3 linked regions of the Notamacropus eugenii genome follow. The main gene of each other region encodes a partner of the protein of the gene in region 2 in a complex. Links are inferred from orthologs where the notes say so. Each region holds a gene or a part of one and is shown on either strand. Other genes may lie near its edges.

What was found.
Region 1: the proteins of protein S100-A4 (region 2) and MYH9 are in contact, whole or in part, in an NMR structure (PDB 2LNK), measured with the Homo sapiens proteins. The link is inferred for Notamacropus eugenii from reciprocal best matches to the Homo sapiens genes S100A4 and MYH9. Residues at the interface, in NP_002952.1 of Homo sapiens: Leu38, Ser44, Phe45, Leu46, Gly47, Lys48, Arg49, Thr50, Asp51, Ala54, Phe55, Lys57, Leu58, Asn61, Leu62, Ser64, Gln73, Glu74, Cys76, Val77, Phe78, Ser80, Cys81, Ile82, Met84, Met85, Cys86, Glu88, Phe89, Phe90; in NP_002464.1 of Homo sapiens: Thr1906, Ala1909, Met1910, Glu1913, Val1914, Ser1915, Leu1917, Lys1918, Lys1920, Leu1921, Arg1922, Asp1925, Leu1926, Pro1927, Phe1928, Val1929, Val1930, Pro1931, Arg1932, Met1934, Ala1935.
Region 3: the proteins of protein S100-A4 (region 2) and ANXA2 are in contact, whole or in part, in a crystal structure (PDB 5LPU), measured with the Homo sapiens proteins. The link is inferred for Notamacropus eugenii from reciprocal best matches to the Homo sapiens genes S100A4 and ANXA2. Residues at the interface, in NP_002952.1 of Homo sapiens: Lys35, Leu38, Pro43, Ser44, Phe45, Leu46, Gly47, Lys48, Arg49, Thr50, Asp51, Ala54, Phe55, Lys57, Leu58, Asn61, Leu62, Gln73, Phe78, Cys81, Ile82, Met84, Met85, Glu88, Phe89, Phe93; in NP_001002857.1 of Homo sapiens: Leu13, Glu14, Pro21, Ser22, Ala23, Tyr24, Ser26, Val27, Lys28, Tyr30, Thr31, Asn32, Phe33, Glu36, Arg37, Leu40, Thr44, Gln69, Asp70, Phe73, Arg77, Arg78.

What each region holds. Positions count from the first base shown.
Region 1 is NC_092874.1:293,431,331-293,439,203, forward strand, and holds the start of MYH9 (myosin-9), read right to left. Parts: upstream 3,027-7,873; 5' UTR 2,889-3,026; intron 2,090-2,888; exon of another isoform or gene 1,999-2,089; intron 622-1,998; exon of another isoform or gene 300-621; intron 1-299. UniProt on the Homo sapiens protein: Cellular myosin that appears to play a role in cytokinesis, cell shape, and specialized functions such as secretion and capping. Required for cortical actin clearance prior to oocyte exocytosis. Promotes cell motility in conjunction with S100A4.
Region 2 is NC_092873.1:377,524,189-377,531,205, forward strand, and holds the start of protein S100-A4, read right to left. Parts: upstream 3,084-7,017; 5' UTR 2,863-3,083; intron 472-2,862; 5' UTR 452-471; coding exon 311-451; intron 1-310. Other genes in the region: S100A3 (protein S100-A3), read right to left, coding at 5,330-5,491, 6,644-6,784. UniProt on the Homo sapiens protein: Calcium-binding protein that plays a role in various cellular processes including motility, angiogenesis, cell differentiation, apoptosis, and autophagy.
Region 3 is NC_092872.1:148,524,061-148,531,459, reverse strand, and holds the start of ANXA2 (annexin A2), read right to left. Parts: upstream 3,071-7,399; 5' UTR 2,704-3,070; intron 2,655-2,703; exon of another isoform or gene 2,514-2,654; intron 1-2,513. UniProt on the Homo sapiens protein: Calcium-regulated membrane-binding protein whose affinity for calcium is greatly enhanced by anionic phospholipids. It binds two calcium ions with high affinity. May be involved in heat-stress response.

The sequences.
Region 1 (7,873 bases), on a different chromosome or scaffold from region 2:
TGGGAGAGAATTGATTGGACACCTTCTCCCACAGCCAACTTAAATTTCATTATTTTTTTTAAAGCAAGGACCCCAGAGTTCCTCAATTATATAAGTTTTTCATCTGGGATCTCAATGGATCAGAACTGGAATGATCTAGAATCTCAAAGCTATATTTCTAGAAGGAGTCTTAAGAAATGCCGGCTCACATTTCTACCACCAATGGTGGCCACAGTCATCACATGCGTCATGTCATTTGCTTCCCACAAGAGCCCTAGGAGGCAGGTAGCAGGGCAAGTATCATTATCTCCATTTTACAGATGAGGAAACAGTCTGACTCGAAGACCACATTCACACAACCTGGCCAGTAGAAGAGTGGGACCAAGGACTTCTCTGGCATCCAAGTCCAGATGCACTGCTTTCCACTGCCCTCCAAACCAAAATGCCCAAGACTGAATGGCTCCATGGCTCAACAGCAGCATTTAATGAGTCGAGAACTCCTAACCTGTTGAAAACGGCAGCCTGTCCCACTCAGCCTGGGGTAAGCCAGCCATCTGTGGTCATGATGGCTCTAAAATTATAAGGCACAATTTTGAAGTTTTTAATTACCCCCAATTACCTACTAAATGACTCTTCACTTTCTGACTGGACTCAAACTTGCCTCAGTTAGCAAAGCCGGCAACATGCTTGGAGAATTCCTGGAACTCTCCTTTCTCACTCTCACTCCCCCCCAATCAAAAATAGGTTCTCCCTTCTTTGAACTCCCACAATGATAAGACCCTTCTCTTGAAGCTTCTACCACTATGTACCAACTACTGGCTAGCTAGTGCTGGGGGTGGGGGGTGGGGGTAGCATTAGTCGGCCTCCAAGCCCTCCCCAGATGTAGGATTCCGACTCTTACTGCTCAGGTAATCATCAGAGACTGAGATCTGAAGCCTGGTCCTCTACCAGCCTGTGAGCTACTTGAGATCAAGGTCTGTCCTATACAACCCACAGCAGCCAACCAAGAAAAGTTTGGTAAAAATATAAATAAATCTGATTCCTCTATTTAAGCGAAAAGGGTAAGAAGAAGCAAGTAATTGCTCAGCCTCCCAGAAAAATCAAACTTAGCCACATTGTTACAAGATGAACAAGCTGAGGTCTCTTGACTTTCAACAGTAACTGAAGCATCTTGTTACTTTCAAAGCCAGGAAAAGATGTCAATGAGAACCTAGCAGAAAGTGAATGAGTTCATGTGTGCTGGGGACAAACAGCTGGGTTTCTCTGTAAATACAACCTTTCCAGGCTCACTCTAGCCCACTGATGTGACTCGTTCTAAGTCCCTCACTTGTGGGCATTAGCTAGACCCTCCAATAACACCCTTCTCAGCTCAGGAGAGCTAATGAAATAGACCTTTTCTCTTGTGTCTTTGGAACAGCAGAGCTAACACCCTCTCCTTCCAGGGGCCTACCAGGGGACCTGCCCTCAAGCCCCACAGGGTGTGGCCCAGGAGGGGAAGGGGAAGGGGGGAGGAGAGGGCAATCAGGAAAAAGCCCCAAACATTTGCAAAACAGGAAAGAGGAAACTTAGGTCTGCCCAGAGAGCGGAGCCACAAAAGCTGGGTGGGCTCCTCCGAAGGGCAAGGTAATCAGAGTTGAGGGCTGCACCTCACCCACAGCAAGTTGGGGCAAGGTAAGGAAGACTGGCAGGCAGAAAGCCCAAAGCAATCCCATACCAGCACTTCGGCCCTAGGGGCCCTCCTCACCCAAGTCAAGGGTCAGTTGAGGGAGGAAGCAGTCAGGGAGATGGTGTGCCAGGCTGAAGCTCCCACTCCCTTCCTTGACCCAACTACCCCCACCCCCCTCCACCTCCACCCTCCCTTTCTCGGTTCCACGGAGCACAGCCAAGCGAATGAGGAAGTCGTGATGGGAGGGCGGAAACCAAGGCTGAGCTCAGAGCCATGTCTGCAGCAGGACTGTCTGCCCGTGACTCAAGAGGGAACCCCGACAGCTGCCAAGCGGTCTCCGGTCCGCCCGTTACCTCCGAGAAAGGCCTGGAGACCTCCACAGTGCCCGGAGCGGGCTGCCCCGGAGAGCCAGAGCCCGGCCAACGCAAGCCCCAAGGAGAGCTCAAAAGTCTGGCCAAGCCCTCCCGACAGGCACTTAAGGGAGTCCGGGGCTGGAGTGAGATAAGGAGTAGGGGGATGGGCAACTGCAGGAAACTGAGTCACTGAAGGCCCGAGGGATGCAGGGAAAGGGAGGAGAGCGCAATGCCAAGGGACCTGTAAGTTCCTGGAGGGCAGGCACTGGTTCTGTGTCTTTTACCTGGGGTTGGAACAAGGAAGAGTTTAAGAAATGCTCCTTCACCTGAAAGTGAGAGGAAGAGAAGGAACAGAAGAGGAGAGAAAGGGGAGAGGAGAAAAGGGGGAGATCAAGAGGGGAGAGAGACTCAAAGGGGGAGAGAAAGGGGTAGGTGGACAGAAAGCAGGGGAGACGGAAAGAGGTCAGAAAAGGGGTCACAAAAAAACAGAAAGGGGGAGCGGGAAGGACTAGGGAGTCAGAAAGGGGGTGAAGTCCAGGGGGCCTCCGGCCCTCGGGACGCCTCCCCCCACCAGGTGCCCAGCTGACGCCCCCACTCCAACCCCGGACCCCAAATTCCGACAATCCGAAGCCACTCTACGGCCGCAGGCAGTGCCTCCTCCAGGGCCCGGGGCCGCCGCGCGGAACCCCGGCAGGGCAGAGGTACCCGGCCGCCCGCCCGCATCCATTTCCGGGCCGGCCGCGGCGGAGAACCAAGCGCGCGCACGGTCGCCCGCCCGCCCGCAGCCGCTGAACTCTGCGTGCCTCGTCGCCGCCCGCCCCGCTCTCGGGCGCGCTCCCCGCGGTGCGCGCAGGAGACGCCGTTGGCCCCGGAGGACGCGGCCAGCTCACCTGAGCCGCGTCGGGTCCCCTCGAGCGGACGTGCGGCAGCTTCCGTGCACCGGCTCCGGCTTGCCACCTGCGCTCGAGCCGACAGAACGAAAACGAGCTGGAAGGACGGAACAGCGGGCGGACGGGAGGGAGAGAGCGAGGCCGGCAGCGCCAGCCAGCAGGTCAGGGTCGTTCTGTCTGGTACCCCGGCCGGCCTGCCCAGGAACGGCAGTGATCTGTTAGCCGCGCCTCGCCGCGCCGCGCCCAGCCCTGCCGCGCCTCTCCCCGCGCCGCCCAGCCCCGCCTTCCAGCCGCTCCCGCCCAATCTGCGGCTCCACGCGCGGCCCGAGATCCGCCCCCGGGGCATTCGTGTCCAATCGCAGCCCGCCGACGTATCGACGGACGGGCATCTCGGCCCATGGAGAGCCTAGGGGGCGGGACAATTGAAGCCAAAGGAATGGGCTTTTCCTTTAGCGGCCTTCACTTTTCCCCGCCCCCTGCCGCCTCGCCCTCCAAGGCCCCGCCCCCTCACTTCAAGTAGCCCAGTGGAAACCCGCTTTTGCGCTTGATAGATGGACAACTCGACCCGTGAGAAACGGAGTGGGCGGACGGAGAGGCGTTGGAAGCCCAGAGGACCGGGCTTTTCCTCCAACCCTGCAGTCTCCCTGCGGCCTAGGCGGGAGCCCCGCCCCCTAGAGGCTTTCCAACGGACCGCCGGGTTTGAGGACGAAGATTGGCAGGGGGCGGAGCCGGCAGCTTGGACTGGTCTTCCCGGCTTTTGGATGGGGCGAGGCCGGTGAAGGGAGGAGCAGGAGCTCGGGGCGGGCTTTATGGTTGTAGAGAGAGGGGCGTGTGGGGCGTGATCCCTCCAGCAAAATTTCTAGCGCTTCCCTACTTTCCCTACAAGTTCAAGGTCGATTGTACCCATTTTACAGAAAATGAAACTGGACCTCCGGAGAGAGGAGGAGTGACCGACAGGGGCACGCACCCAGTGGGGGCCCGAACCAAGATTTGAGTTCGGAGCTATCATCCGCCTCGAGCCCCAAACCGGACCTCTACTCGAGGGGCGCGGAGAAAATGCAAAACACGCTGCCCTGCCCCCCTCCCCACCCCGCCCTTCTCCTGAGTTCCCATTGTCCCAAGTGAAAAGGTGGCCCTCCTCCCAGCCCAGGATAACCTGTGCCCTTGGTCCCATCCCCCTCGGGCACCTGGGCCGGCCCCGGCGCTGATTCATCAGCCCTGCCCAGCCCCTCCCTCTGGCTGTACCCCTGCAGCTGTCCAGCTCTGTCCTCGTTGATATCCCCAGAAAGGCATCTTCCCTCCTCCGTGTTCTAGTCGCTGCCAGCCCCCGGGTCCCCAGACTCAGAACTCCACTGTCCTCCCCCGCCCCGAATATAGCCCGCTGCCCAATCTTGTCCTTTCCGCCCTTCCACCCTTTACTATGTGGGCCCTTCTCCATCTCCGCAGCCACCCCTCCCTTACCTGACTGTTCGCAGTCTGCCCTCTCCAGTCCACCATCCACCACACTGTCACCCCCTCTACTCAGCTATCCTTTATTATTCCCCATTGCCTCCAGGATAGCACGCGAATTATTCAGTGTGGGTAACCCTGAAAGAAAGCTCTCCAAATCCCCTTCCTAGCTCTCCCGTCTTACACGCACCTGCACTCTCCGATCTAACCACGCATAAGAGACTCCGTTCTCGGGACGTGCCAATACAACATAGTGTTCGTTTTGTATCATATGGGGTGTCCCAAAAGTCGCAGTGCTTAAGTCTAAGCCTTAGCAGCTTAGAACCACTCTAAGACTTTTTGGGACATCTTATATTCTGCACATACTTCCTATGTTTTCATCCCCCTATTAGAATTAGGGGTAGCTAGGTGGTGCAGTGAATAGCGCATGCAACCTGTGGTCAGGAAGATCTGAATTCGACTAGCTGTGTGACCCTGGGTAAGTCATTTACCCCTCTCTATCTCAGTTCCTCATCTGTAAAATGGGGACACATTGGAGGAGAAAATGACAAGCCATTCCAGTATCTTTGCCAAGAAGATTCCATGGGGTCCTGTAGAACAGAACTGACTGACAACAATCAGAAGGGACTGTTTTAATCCTGTCTTTGGATTCCCTGCTTTTGGATTGGTGGATTATCTGACACGTGGTATTACTTAATAAATACTTGTTGACTGATGGATTGATAGGATAGAAAGGAGATTAGAAATACACATATATGTATTGAGTGGGAGGGGGCCAGGAGTCTATGACTACCTTCAGCCCGATTAATGTCATCTCAAAAGGGCTAGACAGTTTGACTAAAGAGATCAATCAAAAGTGTAAACTTAATGCCAAGAAATCCTTAATCAATTTAAGAGGCATTAAGTGTTTGGATAATTGGATGATATATATGGATCAGCTGCACATCTGGAGGGAGGCAGCTGGGAATTAGCCAGTCTGGTGAGGCAAGAACCTCAGATGAACCCCCTTCTACAAAGGAATTCATGTTGTCTAATGATCCAGGGGAATGAGACTGTAAGGGGCTTGTGAGTGGCAATACAAGAAACCTTTGGGGTTACCCCTAGCACTAGGAGGTGAGAAGAACAAGCCTTCCAGAGTCCCAGCCAGCCACATGTGAGAGTTAGGGAAGTAAACCCAGAGAGGATGCTACAGGTAGATCTGAAACAGATACAGGGTGAGAGGGTGATGGGGGAGGAGACAATATTAGATGCAGGAATCCAGAAAGGTTTCTTGTCAAAAGTGTCACTTGAGCTGAGTCTTGAGGGAAATCAGGAATTTCAAACAAACCTTCATTTTAAAGATGTTCATAGGTAAGTCCAGGAGATTTCCTCAGGGTGTTCACTGAGGAATCTTTATTTTTTTTTTAAAGATGAGTATTTGGTGACTACCCAATCATAAAAGGCTATATTTTTAGTCATCAAACCAACTAAAGAAACTAAAATTAAAATTCCTTTTTAAAATTAGCTACTAAACTTTATACTTAAAAATATAGATACAAAATGTCACTATAGTGATGACCAGTCATACATAAAGATAGAAACCAAGTTCATGGTCTTTATTCTTGCTCAGACAAAGAATTCTACCACTACATTCCTATTGCCCTCTTAGAGATCATCAGTGATTGGAAAGCCAAGTTTCACGAAAGTGATGGGGCCAAAAGTCACACTGAGGGGAATAGTAGATGACAACTGGAATCCCTAATGGTAGACTGAGTTTCTCAAAGTGAAACAAGCAGATAGAGGTGAGAGAGGAAGTGATATGTTGAAAGAAAAGGTGACAATGGGATGATGAGAAAATGGTATTTTTCAAAATAGTTTGGGGAGATTAAACATTGTAACCCCTCCTGGGAAAATGGAGAGTCAAGGGGCATGAGAAAACCAATTAAGGAGGAGCCAGTGGAGTGGAAAAAATAGGAGGACAGGAGGTTGAAATCAAAAGGGGCCATTTCATGGTCCGAGATCTTCAGGGTCAAGTGATGAATAAAGGGATGAAACCAACAGAGGAAGAGAGAAAGGGACAATTGACATTTACATAAAACTTCAAGGCCTGAAAAGCATTTTATAGACATTATAGATAATATAGAGATATTATCTTTACAAATATTATAGATAGTATCTATATAGATATTATAGATACTATATGGATATTATTGTATGGATATTATCTTTCTAGATATAATTATATAGATATATTATAGATATTAGCTTCTCAGAACAGTTCTATGAGGTAGATGCGAGGGTTATTATTAATCCATTTTACAGGTCAGGAAAAGAGAGGATCCAGGTAGTTAAATTTCTTGCCCAGGGTCACACAGCTCATAAATGTCAGAGGTATGATTTAGACCTAGGTCTCCTATGGCTTTAATGCTTCCTCTCTTTCCATATCAGACTGTCATCATGAAAAAGAGACGACAGTTACAGAATCAAGGTGGGGGGAGCACAGAAGGAAAGATGGAAGGAGCAAGAAGGTATAAAGGATGAGATCAAGGGCATATGCTACAGGATTCTAGATCTACAACCAGAAGAGGCCTTAAAAGTCATCTAGTTCACTTCCCGCCATTTTATAGGTGAGAAAACAGACCCAAAAACATAAAAGTTAGCTTCGGAGATGGAGCAGTTAGCTTTGGCAAACCAAGACTGAAGAAAATGAGAAGGATGAAATTAATGCAGAGCTTTGAATTCTTCTCTGTCTTCTTTATAGGCTCTGCCTGTCCCCCTCCCCCAAGCATGGACTTCTCATAGTTTTTCTGTTTGTTTCTCTCCAGGGATTGGGGCACCTTCCTTGGAAATCTTCAAGCAGATACTGAAATACCACTGATTGGGTCTAGTACTGAAGGATTTCTTTCACTTATTGGTCCAATTCCATGGCTACTAAGGTCCCTTTCAACTCTCAAATCTTGTACATCTTTGTCTATGTCTCCCCGTACACTGTCTGCCATCTGCTCCCACAATGTCACCTAACCCCTCGATGTGGAGGATTCACAAATCTCTATGCTCAGCTTGGACCCAACTCAGTTCTACATTTCCAGTTACCCACTAAATATTTCTAGAGTACTCCCAACATTTCAAATTCCATGTGCCTAGAATTGACCACATCATTTTCTCTTCCTTCCCAAACTTGCTTCTCCCACCGTCCCCTGGATCTGCCAAAGGCATCACTATCCTCCCACTCTTCTGCAGTCCTTTGCCCTTTTCACCTTCTTCCTTCCTCGTCGCCCAGATCTAGTCAGCCTCTAAACTGCTCCTCAGATCTATATTTCTTTGTCTTTAACCCTCATGAGATGGTCATCACTTTGGCCTTCTTTCCTCTACACAACTATAAGCTCTTTGAGGATAGGAACATCAACTCAATAACATCTGGGTCCCCCAAAATGGAACTTAGGACAGTGTCTTTACCATAAATAATAAGTGAAATTGTCGTAATAAGAGAGACAACATATCAAAGGGAAAAGAGCAGCAGAGTTAGGATTCTAGACATCTAGAACCTAATTCGAGTG
Region 2 (7,017 bases):
CTTGCTTCTTCCTGACTCCAGGTTAAGTGCATTTTTAGATGCATAAAATTAAATACACACTATTACCAACTATACTTAAATATAAAAATAAAATCATATAACATGAAATATTAAAATATAATATATAAATATAATAGCATAGCTCACCAACCCCAGGTTAAGAACCTTTCTTCTACAATAATTAGCTATAATAGTTAATATGATAATTATAATAAATGAGAATATGTGGTCAACAGGCGTCTCGAGTGGCAGGAGAGCTGGAGGCAGGAGCTGATCTATGGATTCCACAGCACACATACACACTACTCACCCCCAAGAAGTTAGGGAGTTCCCGAGTCACCAGCTCCTTCAGCTCTGTTTTGTTGAGCTTGAACTTGTCTCCCTCCTTCCCAGAGTACTTGTGGAAAGTGGACACCATCACATCCAGAGCCTTTTCCAGAGGGCTTGCCATGATACTGTCCTAAGGGGCACCTAGGAGGGAGCAAGTGAAGACACCTTTGATTTGGGACAGAGTGGATGTGGGATTGTGTTGGACTACTTCAAGAATGGGTGATGTCATCCATGTGGGAACCTCCCTCCTCTGATGAGTTCAGTACCACCAACACGAATAGTGAGTGATTCCTATAGAAATAGAACTGAAACCCACATCTTTCTAGCCCAGAATAAGCTTCTGAAAACCCAATGATGGAGTGAGAAGTCAGAAAAATGCCCTCAAATCAGCACCTTTTTTTAAGAAAAATCATTTGGAAGGTTAGAGGAAGGGAAATGAAATCTAGGAAAAAACCCAATTTTTCCATTTTAACTCATTATTCTTCTTATTGAGGTTCTAGACTCAGTTGTTCATATTCATCTGGAGGACTTGAGGCAATGCCTGGGATGCCCCACCCTAGACAGGGCTCCCTGTATAGACAACCTATTATTCCTTAAGTGATCACGATGGATCATGTTAGGGCACTGCTAAGGCAGTCCAAAAAGCATGGTAAACTGGCTGCTGCTCTTCCAGAGGTGAACCTTCCAAATTTAACTGGCTTGGATAACAAGACGAAGTGGAAAGTACCCTGGATCTGGAACCACAGGATCTGGATTTGAATTCTGGTTTATTACCCATGTGACTATGAACAACTTGCTTCCTTTCTCTGGGCAGAGATAAGAAGCCTTAGTGCTCATCTGTCTAGTTGCAGCCATTCCCTGACTATGGACTTTGAGTAATTGCAGTGACTCAAAATAAAGAATATATTATCAATACATGATAATATATATAAATATGTAATAAATAAGTAAAATAAAAATCTCACACATCTTACTATTTTTTGATTATAGTAGGTGCATTCAAAAGTGTTACTGAATTTTTGTTGTTATTCTGAGTCAACTTATGCTAATTTTTCTATTTTCCCTATATTTTCTATATATTCTATATTTTTACTATAATGAGGTGGGAGGGGAGGATCTAGAAATTTTTTTACATTAAAAAGTGTCTACCTACTCAAAGAAGTTGGGAACCACTAAATCTAGACTGAGCTCCTCACTTTATAGATCCAAAACCAGCATAAATGTCAGCATTCCACCCCATCCTCTGAACCCTTCACCCTGGGACCATCAGGGTCCCAGCTCCTCCCTTCAAGACAGGACGATTCTGGACACCTCCCTAGAGAGCTGACTTCTGGGCTCCTCTCAGAGTAAAGCATGAATGGGGCAGGATTCACCACCCTGAGGGCACGAACCGACAGGACAGAGAAACTAGCCCTGGCCCAAGCAGGGTCAGACAATAAAGAGAAGAGGCCCTCCAAAGAAGGCCAAATAGTCCTTAGACTCAGGACTGACAATTCATACTGCAGCCCCTACTATAGTTATGCCTGAGGGAGCACAAAAAGATTGAAGAATGCCGAACCCCACCCTGCCTCAGTTTCCCCATATAGGAGGTTCAGGGAAGCTCTCTTGGTTGGCAGCCTCTTATGTGAGGAAACTGAAGCAGAGTGGGGCCCAGATCTTCCGATGCCTCCCTGCCAGGCACACTGCACCTCTTCAGAGAAAATCTGCCACTGCATCCAGTTAAGTTTAGAACACATTAAAGGTCATTTTTTAAACCAGTCCTCTGTCCCCACCTCCCTGCACAAAACTGTTGCCCTGAAGTTTCCTCTCTAGTTTCTTTCGCCTGCCTAGTCGCCCTAGGAAGTTGTTTCTGCAATGCCTGCCCCACCCTAGGCTCCTCTCAGTGCCCAGTACCACAACAACAAGCTAGCAATGGTAATCTCCAGCTCGGTTTTTCCACCACTCATTCACTCACACTCACACATTCCCCAAAGCTTAGCCCTCCCCAGCCCATTCTTCTGCTCTGTGCACAGGAGTGGGCGGTTGCTTCTGGAGACAGGCCCTGGGACTGACAATGGAAAAAAACAGTCAAGCAGAGGGGAGGGTGAGTTAGGAAGGAGAGGAGGGGGAGGAGAAGTGGACAGAGGGGGAGCTATTCCCCTGCTCGGGAGAGAGATCAGAAGTGAGGTTTCTACACAGCCACTACACAGCTCCACATGTACATATGTACATGCATGAAACATGACTACATGCTGCTGACACAGATGCACTCTCCAGGTGCAGAGATGTAATATGCAACATGCATACAGCATCCAAGTCAGATGGTCTTGCAATCTTTCCCCCACTGGGACACTCCTCCACCCCACCCTGGCATCTCTCTACAACTCAAACCTGAAACACCTACCCCTCTTCACCACTCCTTCCTCAGAGTCTTTCTGTAGGATCCTCACATCTGGATCTACTTCCTACATCTGGCCCCCACTCAGCCTCCTCTGTCTACCAGGCCCTAGGGTCCTGTCACCCACATCCCCGGCCAAGTCAACCACAACTCACCAAACCAACCAGAGAAGAAATGCAGAGAGGGGAGAGAGAGAGGGACACAGTGGGGAGGGCTGAGCCAGGGCCTATTTATACCCCCAGCCAAACCCTGCCTGTGGCAAGGGGCGGAGGGGAGCTGGGACACCCCCTCCCTGATGCTGGGTCAGAGAAGACCAATAGCAAGGCCTCTTCCACCTCCTAGCTCACGTTGGCTGGTGGGTGAGCAAAGCTTACACAAGATGAGGCACTAATACAGGGATAGTTTTCAGGGACTACTCCCCCCCATCAGAGAGAGAGAGAACCCTGAAAATAGAGCCAGACAGCGCCCACAGGCCTTGAGCCCCCAATCTGAAGGAGTAGGTAGAGCCCCAACCCCACTTTGTAGGAGGGGCTACAATAAGAGGGGGGTATGCAGTCTTTGTTAAGTTGTAGGGGAAAGGGGAGGGGAGAGCATGAGGATGGAAAATTCCTACAAAACTAAGAATCTTCTAGAACAGAAGGAAGAAAGACCCAGGGCACAGGACTGATCTGGTGTGAGAGAGGGGGCCACTTAGTCCCTTTGCCTCATGGGGAGCAGGGCTCTGCTGAGGGTGTGGCTCTCCTAGACATAGCAGGATATATGTGTGAAGGATATGGAAGTGGATGCCAGGCTAACTCCAGAGAAAAAGACTTGGAGAATGCTTGGGAAATACTCCATGGAAAGAAAAACATCTCCAAGTACTGTTATCCTCTGGAGTTTGTGGCTGAGTGCCCAGAAGGAGTCCAAGTGTAGGGACGAAGGAAGGAAGGGGAACACATGAGTGTGTAGGATGGGGCTGATTGTCAGGATTGGGGTGGGGGGTGCACCCATGTGCATCTGGAATGAATCAGAACAGGGAGGGAAGGACACATGAGTGCCCAGAATGAGACCCGAGAAGGTGAAGAGGGACACAAATCGAGGGAAAGAGTACACATGAGAGTGTATATGGGGGTGAGGTGGGGGTGCCAGAATAAAGGGGGACACATGAACCTATGGGATACGGGACACTTGGATGTTGAGGATGGCATCCTAAGGTTACATATCAGGAGATGAGAGTAGGGATAAAATATCTTCAAAGGTTTGCTAATCAGTTATCAGACCAAGGCACAGGGGTATCTCTCCCAGATGCTGTCCCCTTACTCTGGACTGGGGTTGGGAGAGGTATACCAGAAAACGAGAAGAAAACAGGCCATCAGCTTTAATCCTATTAGTGCCGCCATTTCAGCCCTGGCGGCTCCCCACAGCCCCAGGCTAGAAATGGGCAGCCCCACCCAGGCCCCACCCTCCACTTCACTGGTGCTCTGTTGTGGAAGCACTGTTACCCAGTGGCCCTCCTGAACCCGGATTTGAGACGTGCTTCACCTCTCCCTATCACAGCCTCCCTCTCCAGCCCACCACCAGTATTTCTCTCTCAAAGACCCCCAGAGAGGAAAAGCCTGTAGTTCAGGAGCTGTTAACTTTTATTTTGGTGCCATGGACCCCTTTGCCAGTCTGATGAAGTTTTCTTCAGAATAATATTCAAATGATTGAGAGAGTTGCTAAATTTCATTTAGAGGTTAGTGAAAATAAAGATGTAATTTTTTTCCCCCATTCACTAGACCCCCTTGAAATTTGACCCCCTGCTCTAGATGTTCAGAGGGCACTCCCTTCATCCAATGTGTATACTCTCCATTTTCAAATCTAACCACAAATCTCTTGCAGCAGTTTCAAAACCACTCCCTCTTCTTCCTGATCCTCCTTCCTCTAGAGATGGTGAGACTAGCTGAGAACATAAAGCCTCTTCTCCCAACTAGTAATATCAACAAGTTCTCCAAGTACCCCCTCAGTTTTTATTCACAGGACTCAGGGAATCCCAGTTCCTTAGGAGGATGGCTGGAATTTGAGGTATTAGACAAAACAGTTGGGTCTCAGTAACAAAGAAGCCCAGCCCAGCCCTATTCCATTCCCTTTTAAGAATAACCAAACCACCGCAAAGGGAGCTGGAACAACAGCCATTTTTATTGAGAGATCATTCACACTGGTGAGCACATGAACAATGAAAAGAATTTCATCCCTAGTACCTCATTCCTACTAACCCCACCATCTCTCTATGTCTTCTCTTTACCTCCCCAAAGTACTTTCTTAGTGTATTCTTGAATTAGAATAGAATACCACAGACCCAAGGAGAAGGACAAAAGGAAGCAAAAGAGCTGGAAGAGGAGAAGGGAAATTTCCTAAGGGTCCTAAATCAAACTGAAAACTGAGACAGATTAAGGAATGTCTAGATTAGGAGACCTCATCCATTATGTAGTACAAGGATCCTCAAAGGAGAACCTGGCTTTCCACAGAGCAGACAAGTGACCGTTCAATCTCTCCAAGACAACTTCCAGGTAGAAGGGACATAACACCAAGGTTACAGCTCTATCCCAAGCATCAATTCACTTTATCTCCCCCCATCCCTGACCCATCCCACTTATGGAGTTACTAAGGACAAGGAGGGTTAGGGGGACAATCCCGGAAGTATTCATGGCAGTAGATGCAGAGACAGGCCAGGGCTCGGACGTACTCAGTGAAATCCACTTCACAGTCCTTGTTTGTATCCAATGCACTCATGAGAGTATTGTAGTCACACTCTCGGAGCCTCGTCTGGGAAATGTAGAAGAGAGTAAGAAGAAAGACTGAGACAGGAAGAACTTCTTGGCTTTCTCAAATCAGTGCCATGACATAATAGAAGGAGCACTGGATTAGACATCGAGAGACCTGGGTCCCTCAGCTTTATCCCCTGAGCCCCTGTGTGACCCTGGGCAAATCATTTTTATCAGGTGTCTCTCAGACTGATGATGGTCTGTTTAATCTACATTGTACAGAAAGACTACATCTCATTGTCAGGAAGTCCTTTCTGGGCTCCAGTTTAGTGCTTGAACAAGGCATTTATATACCCTAGTCAGGATGTCCCTCATATTTGAAAATGGCCCCCAGAGGTATGGCTAGCCACTGAAGGCTTTAAGAATTACACTGTAAAGTCCCCCATGCTGTCACAAAAAAGACTATATTTTCTGATATTAAAAAAATGTAGACTGCTAAAATTTTATTTTTAAAAATATCCTTCATTCTGTTCCATCATTTATTATCATTAATTAATAATCACCTCACATCTATATAGCACTTGAAAGGTTTAAAGTTCTTTCCTTACAACTGTGATGACAAATTCCATAGAAATGGATCCCAGAGGGCCACGTGTTTACTTAGAATACCACAAATTAACATTATCTATATTGTATTATATTTTTATTTATTTTGTTAATCATTCCTCAATTACATTTCAATCTGGTGTGTGCTACACTTGCTAGTTTTATGGGATGCTTGCATCCTTAGCTACAAGTTCCACCCCTCTGTTGTAAAACACTCTTCGAAGTAGGTAACACATTTACTTTCAAAGGGCATTTCATCACAATGTACTTTCTCTGATAATGATGTTTTCTATGCTATGCTAAATCATAATGGCAACTCCTACTTTGGAGTTTCAGCTCACACATAATGAATTTTATTCCAGCTTTTCTTTTGAATAAACTTATGAGTCTGTAGGCTTCGGTGCTAAGTGTCAGCGCTGGGATCAGAGCCTGCCTCTCCTGACTCCCAATTCAGCGATCTGTAAAACATGGATCTTGCCTCCTACTCCCCACTCCCATCACATCCCATTCCACTCTGCTCGAGATTGCCAGCTCAAGAAATGATAACTCATGAAATATAAAAGCTCACACCACCCCATCTTCACCATGACCCCTGACGGCCTTTTACCGGGGCTAAGGTGGGCAACTCCTTTAGCAGCAATTCTTTCAGCTCACATTGGGAGAGTTTGAATTTGTCCCCGGAACGCGCTGAATACTGCTGGAAGGTATCCACGATGGCAGCCAATGCTTCCTCCAAGGTTGATGGCATGGTCACTTGGGGAAGGAGGACACAATTATTCTCCAGCTAGGGCATATGAATGCATATCATGTCATGAGATACAGCAAACATTTATTAAGCAAAAACCATTTGCTAAGACATTAAAGAAGGTACACAGGGTAGATACCGCATGGACCCTGCCATCATGATGTTCACCATTTAGGAAAAGGATAACAACATTAGCACAAACTCTTAAAGTATAACTACAAACCAAATATACCACA
Region 3 (7,399 bases), on a different chromosome or scaffold from region 2:
GAAAGGAGGGGAATTTTTAGTGAGCATGAACTGGGTGTGGCAGCATTCAAGCACCAGGGGAAATGGGGATCCCCGAGCTTAAAAAGGAGGAGTAGCAATTGTCTATCTAATTAATTCGGACAATTACATCTAAAGCTAGGTCAAAGCTGTCACTTTAAGCAACACAAGCCCACAACAGGCTACCTGAGCTATTTATGTGAAGACCGACTGGTTTAAAATGAAAGCTCTCTGTATGACTATTAACTCCAACATTACAAGTGTTAACGTTTTAGTGAGTCATTTACCCCCATTTTTGCCATATCAACCACAGCAGTAACAGAAAATTAATTTAGGGATGTAGTCACTAGATTTGGAGTCTGAAGACCTCCTTAGATCCCATATGGAATAAGATGGCCTCTAGGTTCCTTTCCCAGCTCTAAATCTATGATTCTTTTTTCCAGTTATCTTTGTAACCATCTAAAGCAGGTCTGTAGGATTTATGACAATTTGTGCTTCCTGAATGAAGACCTGGTACTCAATGGATTGGTGCCATTAAATCCATCACCAGAGGAAAAACACATAGCCCCTTAAATCAATAGCAATTAGGGAAGAAATGTGTCTCTCCTTAGACCGGTTTTTTTCCAAAGACATTAATAGAAATATCAATCAGAAAGCTAGGGGTCATAACTACAGGAATAAAATCAATCAGCTTTAATATCACAAAGACATAATGCATTAACATTGCATTTCCAATCCATATTTATATTCCTGACCAGTAAGCAACTTTTATGGAGCCTTTATCAGGGCCATGCCTCTGAAGAGAAAATGGTGGATACTACAGACAGGCCTCAGCCTGAAAGAACCCATGCTGCCACAATCCCTGCCACACCCACTCATGGTGTGGCAAGTGAGTCATCGCTGCCATGGAAAAACCGTTTGTTCTGAAATCAAAGGACTTCAGGTTTGGATACCAGCTCTTCCAATGAACTTCCTAAGACTCTTCCCGGGTCTAATATTCCATGATTTCCCTACCATTCCTAAAATAATTTACAAATAAACTTCTTGGCCCAACACTGTAGAAAAAGTATGGACTTTCTTAAAAGCCCTCAAAGACTCACAATCCATTAGAGAATAAGTGAACCCATTTTAGGCTGCTCTTTCATAGAGAAAATAGGTAACTTACACTCCAAGGTCACAGGATATAGAGATGGGAGTGCCCTTAGAAATAATCAAATACTACTATCTCAATTGACAGATATGGTAACCCCTGCCAGGAAGTGAAGTGACTTGCCTTATGGTCATCGAGATAAGAGTCAGAGACAATTTAAACCTAGATTCTCCAACTCAAAATGCAGCATTCCTTCCACTGTACCATTCAGTTCCTTCTACTGCAGGCAAGTAAGGAGAAGAGTTATCATTATCCCCATTTCACAGATGAGGAACCCAATGTTTTGAGGTTATGTGTTTGCTACTGGAATCTAAATCTATTGCTCTTTCCGTTCTATCCAGTCAGCACAGGCATGTCATAAATTCACTCGGCCCATCACAGAAGTAGCCACTTGGGCCTAAATCTATTTGGAAGGCCAGGCCTCTCTGTAGGCTCTGAATTCATATACTCAAAGAATTAGAACCAGTAACACCTTCCACCATATTACCCCCATCTGAACTATCCTGTTAGGCCAAGGGCAAAACTGTAGTTCCCCCCTTTCCCCCCCCCCACCATGGCCACAACCCTGCCTACTGCACCAATACTGGGGATGGGGGATCCAAGGGATACTGGGATCCGTTGGTAAAAGCTGCTCCCACCCTTTCAGAAGAAAAGAAGGTGGGAAGAAAAGAAAAAGGAGAGAAAAGAAAGAGGGATAAAAGGAAAGGGGAATCGTAAATAGAGGGAAATTAAAGAAGGAAGGAAAAGAAAAACAAAAGGAAAAAGAAAAGGACGACTCCCAAGAACAGAAGGTTTGAAGCTACTATAGCCATCTGTGCCCGCTGTCCGTAGGACTTCCCTCAGGATGCAGCAATGCAACCAGACTAGCTCTCCCCGGTTCCTTCCAGTCATTAAAAGCAGGGGATTGCACCAAGAGAGTTCATGGAACCTTTATTTAAGGCCAGTTACTTGACTTCGGAAATGTCTGTGCACTTTTTACATAAATAAACGTTGAAAACCCCACTTGGTGGAAACTTCTCGCATCCGCCGCGGCCCTCGATCACTGCACCGCCACGCCCTTACCTCCCTGGAATGCAGGGACCCTTCACCCTCGCCTGAAGCTGGGCGCCCGTGCCCCCCGTTGTGCGGCCTGCGCGCAGGCTGGGAGGCTCCGACGGGCATCTGGCCACACTCCCGCTCTCCCCAGGTGTCCTGGCCCGAGCCCCGCGCCCCAGGAGCCTCGCCCGGGGCCCGTCTCCCGGGTGGTCATCCCCCTCCGCCCCAAAGCAAGTCTGAGGCCCTTTGCAATGGCCTTTTTTTTCTTTCAAGAACTTCTCCCTCCCCGCTATAGCCGAAGGACCGGAATAGCGGGCGGGCCACGCCTTACCTGTGCCAAGCGCGGACAGAGCAGAGAGCTAGTCGGGCTTCGGGCAGAGCCGGGACCGCTTGGGTGGGGTTTTTATCCTCTGCCACATCCTCAGCAGGAGCAGTCCCCGCCCCGCCCCTCCCCGCCCCGCCTCTTCTCCCCCTCCCCAGGACCTCCCCTGATTCATAGTGACTCACACACACACACTCACCGTGGCAGGAAACATTGTGCAAAAACTTAGCTAGCAGGGCGGGGTTCCCCGGGGGTTCAGTGGGAGCCCCAACGTTAACCGGCTGAGCATCAAGTTCTGACCTCTCCAACAAAACCTTCCTAGCTATTATTAGAAATGAGGCCCCAACTGGCTTTCTCCTGCTTCTGCTGGTCCAAGGTCTACCCTCCGGACTTCTTGCCACCCATTCCTTCTGGGTTCTTGACCCCCTTCCTTGTTCAACATCACATCAAGTTTAGAGAGCTGAGAAAGGGGTCGGAGAAAGAGGGCAGGGGTGTGAAGTTTAGGGCGAGGTTGGTGTGCTTGCTGTTAAAGAAGTAGCCATCCCTCAGCTTGGTTAAATAGTTTCACGTTCTGATGTTGTCAGTGTAAAAAGCAGAAAAGGGGGTTGGTTGTTCCAGGAAACATAAATCTCTGTTCCTCCGAGCTAAGGCTGCTGGCACTCGTCTATTGTCTGCAAAACTATTAGCTTAACCTTAGACAAGGCAGTTCCCAGAAGAAAGCCACAATGCATTATCAGAATGAGCTTGCTGCAGCACTTGGTCCTTGGCATATCTGTCTGTCCTTTAATACCCAAAGAAGTGCATGGAAAGGAGTCATTGCGGGCTTCCAAATGTCAGAGTTTCACATTTGGGCAAGCCCTGGCAACACATCGCTGCAGCACTCAGCCAGAGTTTGAATAGGGTGGGTAATAGAACTGTTCCTGGCTCATTGGAAATAGAAACCTCAAAGCCAAGTTTCCAAACTAGAGGAAACTCCTTTACTCCAGAGTAAATTTTACTCATCACAATTTCCACTTCTCCCTGAGAAGTTTCTGAGTTCTGGGTATATGCAGTGGGTTTTACAAGCAGTTTTTATTCATATATGTGCTATATATTCTGGAAGTTTACACTGTCTTGGAGGATCTGTTGATCCTGCAAAATTGTCTACAAACTTAGACCATTGGGTTAGTGTCATGTCAGTCCAGTCCCAATATTGGATTTCTTTTCTCCCTTGTTTTAGCACAGTTGTTATTTCTCAGTCATTTATCCCTACTCCCTTGACTTTGCCCCCATTTCCCTAAACTCCATCTCTCACCATTAATACTTTGTTTGGACAGTGTTCTTACTTGGCAACCAATGAGTAAACAACATTTTTGTTTGATTTAGCAACCAGTCATTTTTCTTCTCAATTTATCTAAAAAGCTCCTGGTAAAATTATTAAACGTCTTGTCACTACCTCCCCCTATTTGAATGCTTCCCTTTTTTCCTTCCTGTTTTTCATATTCAAGGTATTCTTCCTTTTCTTCAAGATTTTTTTGGTCTTCCATTCTCATCTTCCCTTCCTACTTAGTTATATTTTGTCTAAATCTATCCTCCTTTTCTTTACAGATGAGTTTGGAACCCCATTCTTCTAGCCAGATATCAAAGGTTCCCACTTTTTAAAAAATTTCAAATCCCTCCAAAATATCCCATGAGGGATCTATGATAGACTTTAAGTGAAAGATGTAAAGAAAAAGAAAACATAAAGGTCACATGTCTGACATTAGAATAGCTTTAATATAATTCCTGGACTGCATTTTTTTTTTCTGAAACTTAGACTAAAAGGCCTTAAGGCAGAAACCATGTTTATGTACCTACTCCAAAAGTAGTGTTGAGATAAGGATTGTCAGCACTCTGCCAGTATCACTTTCATGAAATAACAGCTATGGGATATTTAGAATTTCCTTTTTCTGACACAAGGCCTTTTTTAATCCCTTGGACTGGCAGAGAATATGCTTCCAATTGCATTAGTGATAGGTACTGTCAAGAAAGCATTTCATTCAAAAGATACAATGTGTTGAGACCTCAAAGATTTAAAAGAACATCTTTCTTGATTATTTTTTCTAATCCATACTTAGTTGACCATCTGAAATATAAAGCCCAATATAACAAATTAAACAAACTCTGATTTGTCAATAATGACCTAAGCTTGGAGGGATGGGGATATATGGCTTGACATTGCTAATTTGGGAAGTTCCTGTCAACATAACTGGATTTTTTAAAACATAGAATCATGGAATTTTAGAAAGGGAAGAGACTTTAGCAGTCATCTACTCCAGTGGTTCCCATTTAGTGATCTGTGATTATCCAAGAAGTTCATGCTAAAAATTCTTTACCTTATGTTTGGTAGTAGATTATTGTCCAGTTATATCACAAAAATATTTTTCTCTGTGACAATAAGAATGTATATGTTTGAAGCATTACAGATTTATTTCTCCAGCTATCTGAAACTGTCATTATCATACATACATTTTGGTGTTCATGCATTGATTATATCAAATTTGACCTGCTTCTAAGTGCTATGTGTTTTTGCAGTTTCTCAACCTGTCATCAAATTGTTTCCAAACCACCATAAGGGTTCAACATGCAAGCACAAACCAATTCCCAAGACACAGTCAGACTCAAATGCATTTTCCCATTTGTATTCTGTACACTTCACCAGAGTAGCTCCCTTGTTATGATCTGTTACCCTATAATCATGTTATAAATTATATCATCATGCGATCTAGGTGTTATGAATGTTTGTGTTCTTACCACTAAATGTCAAAGTATTCGAAAATCAAAGTGTGAACTAGGCAGGCACATTGCAAGCCATCTTGAAATCATCATGGACCATCAAATTTGTTCTGTAGAAATAAATTCTAGATCACCTTTCATTGTAGTATTAAGGCTGTTTTCCAGTTTAAATTTATACTGCTCTTATGTTACTATTCTCTCCAGTATATTTTCAAATTTTTGGTTGGCAACACCAGTCAGTCATTTAGTAGAGTTTCTGTAAGGAAATCATGTCCAAAGAGATTTTTTCCTAAAAAGGTTAGTTTATATTATTTATAATCAAATATGTTACTTATATTATGAAAATGAAGCAATATATGCAATTGAACTTTAAATATACTGATCATTTAATATAGCACTTATTATTAGCTAATAGAAAAGCAAGTATTTTCTATCATAACTAGCTATTCATTTTCATCAATTGATTAGGAGGCTAAAATTTTTTCAAATGATTTTCCATCTCTCAACAAGAAAGCTTGTAAAATTCTTTTACCATTTTCTAACACAATTGCATGAGCAAGTATTTTTACTTTATTCTTGTTTAAAATCAAAATACAGAAATAAACTCAATAAAGAACCAGATATAAGACTGTGTTTATCTGTTGAGTCAAATGTTATGAATATTTGTTTAAATAAAAATGTTCAGTTTTGGAATTAAGTTGATTTTTACAAACATCTTCCAAGTTCTTAGTTCAGGAAAATGTAACTTATATTCAATAAAATCGTAAAATAAAGAAATTTAATTTGAAGTCTTGCATATTATAGTAAGCATATGAGGTCTTGCTGAATCACCTCTTAATTCTTACAGAATGTGCCACAGAAAATATTCATAATTATTTTATGATTAGTTTTGAAATTTTATATTTAGTTTTCATAATTAAAGGTAGAGTCAAATTTTATATTTTATAATTATATAATACAGATTTTAATTTGGGGGCAAAAGTTAGCATTGTTATAAGTACTTAAGGAATAACTCTAAAAGAATATCAAGAGAAGTATATGAAATTACTCTATAGGTTCACAACACCTTTTTCTGTTGTTGAGAGGGGTTCAAGAACCAAAAACTTTTGGAACCACTGATCTACTCTAAACCATACCCCAAAAGAAATGCCCTGCATTATATACCTAATGAGTGGTTATCCAGTCTCTTTCTAATGAGGAAGCACTCACTACCTCCTGAAGCAGCCTACTGGAATGATTCTTCTAATTGTTAGGAAATTCCTTACAGTAAGCCTCAATATGACTCTGCAGCATCCAGCTATTGCTCCTGGCTATGCCTTTTGGGACCAAACAGAACAAATCCAATCCTTCTTCTGCATGATTCCCTCTTGTTTTATGTTTCTTTCCAGAGGTGGCCAACTGTTTACTGGACCAGACCTCATATTATATTCATTGGTATGCTATCTCTCATGGAATTCATCAGAGAATTTTAGGATTGGAAAAGACTCCCATGATCCCCTAGTTCAAGACTATCAAGATAATAAGTGGTACAGTGAAAAAATATTGGACATGGAATTAGGTAGACCTGAGTTCAAATCTTGCCTTGAGTACTTATTAGATAGTAGGAAAGGCACTAGTACGCTCAAGGGGGAAGTCACTTAACCTCTCTCAGCCTCAATTTTTTTAATCAGTATAAGAGAGATAATAATAGGGTCTTTGTGAGGATCAGATGAATAAACACATATGAAACATTTTGCTTAAGAATAGCAGAAAGCTGGGTTCTAGTTCTGCTTCTGACACATATGATATATGACCCATTACTTTCAGTGCTCTATAGTTAAGACTATAAACTCATAAAAGGTTCCAATGTGTATTGCTAGAGAGAACTCTCTATTCAGATGAAATCATAGGTCTAATCTCTAGCAAGCAATGGAAAGGGGAGAAGAAGGGTACTAGATGTATAGGGCCTGCACCAAAAGGATAGCACAACCCTGTAAGGTAATGTGATTATAATTACGTTTGAGAAGCAACATGGGGCAATGGCCAAGGCACTACACTTGAAATCAGAAAGAGCTGGGTTTAAATACCTCCTCAGATGCTTACTTCCTGTGCAGCTTGGGCAAGCCTCTTAATTCTCAGTTTTCTCTTTTAGTCCTAAATTT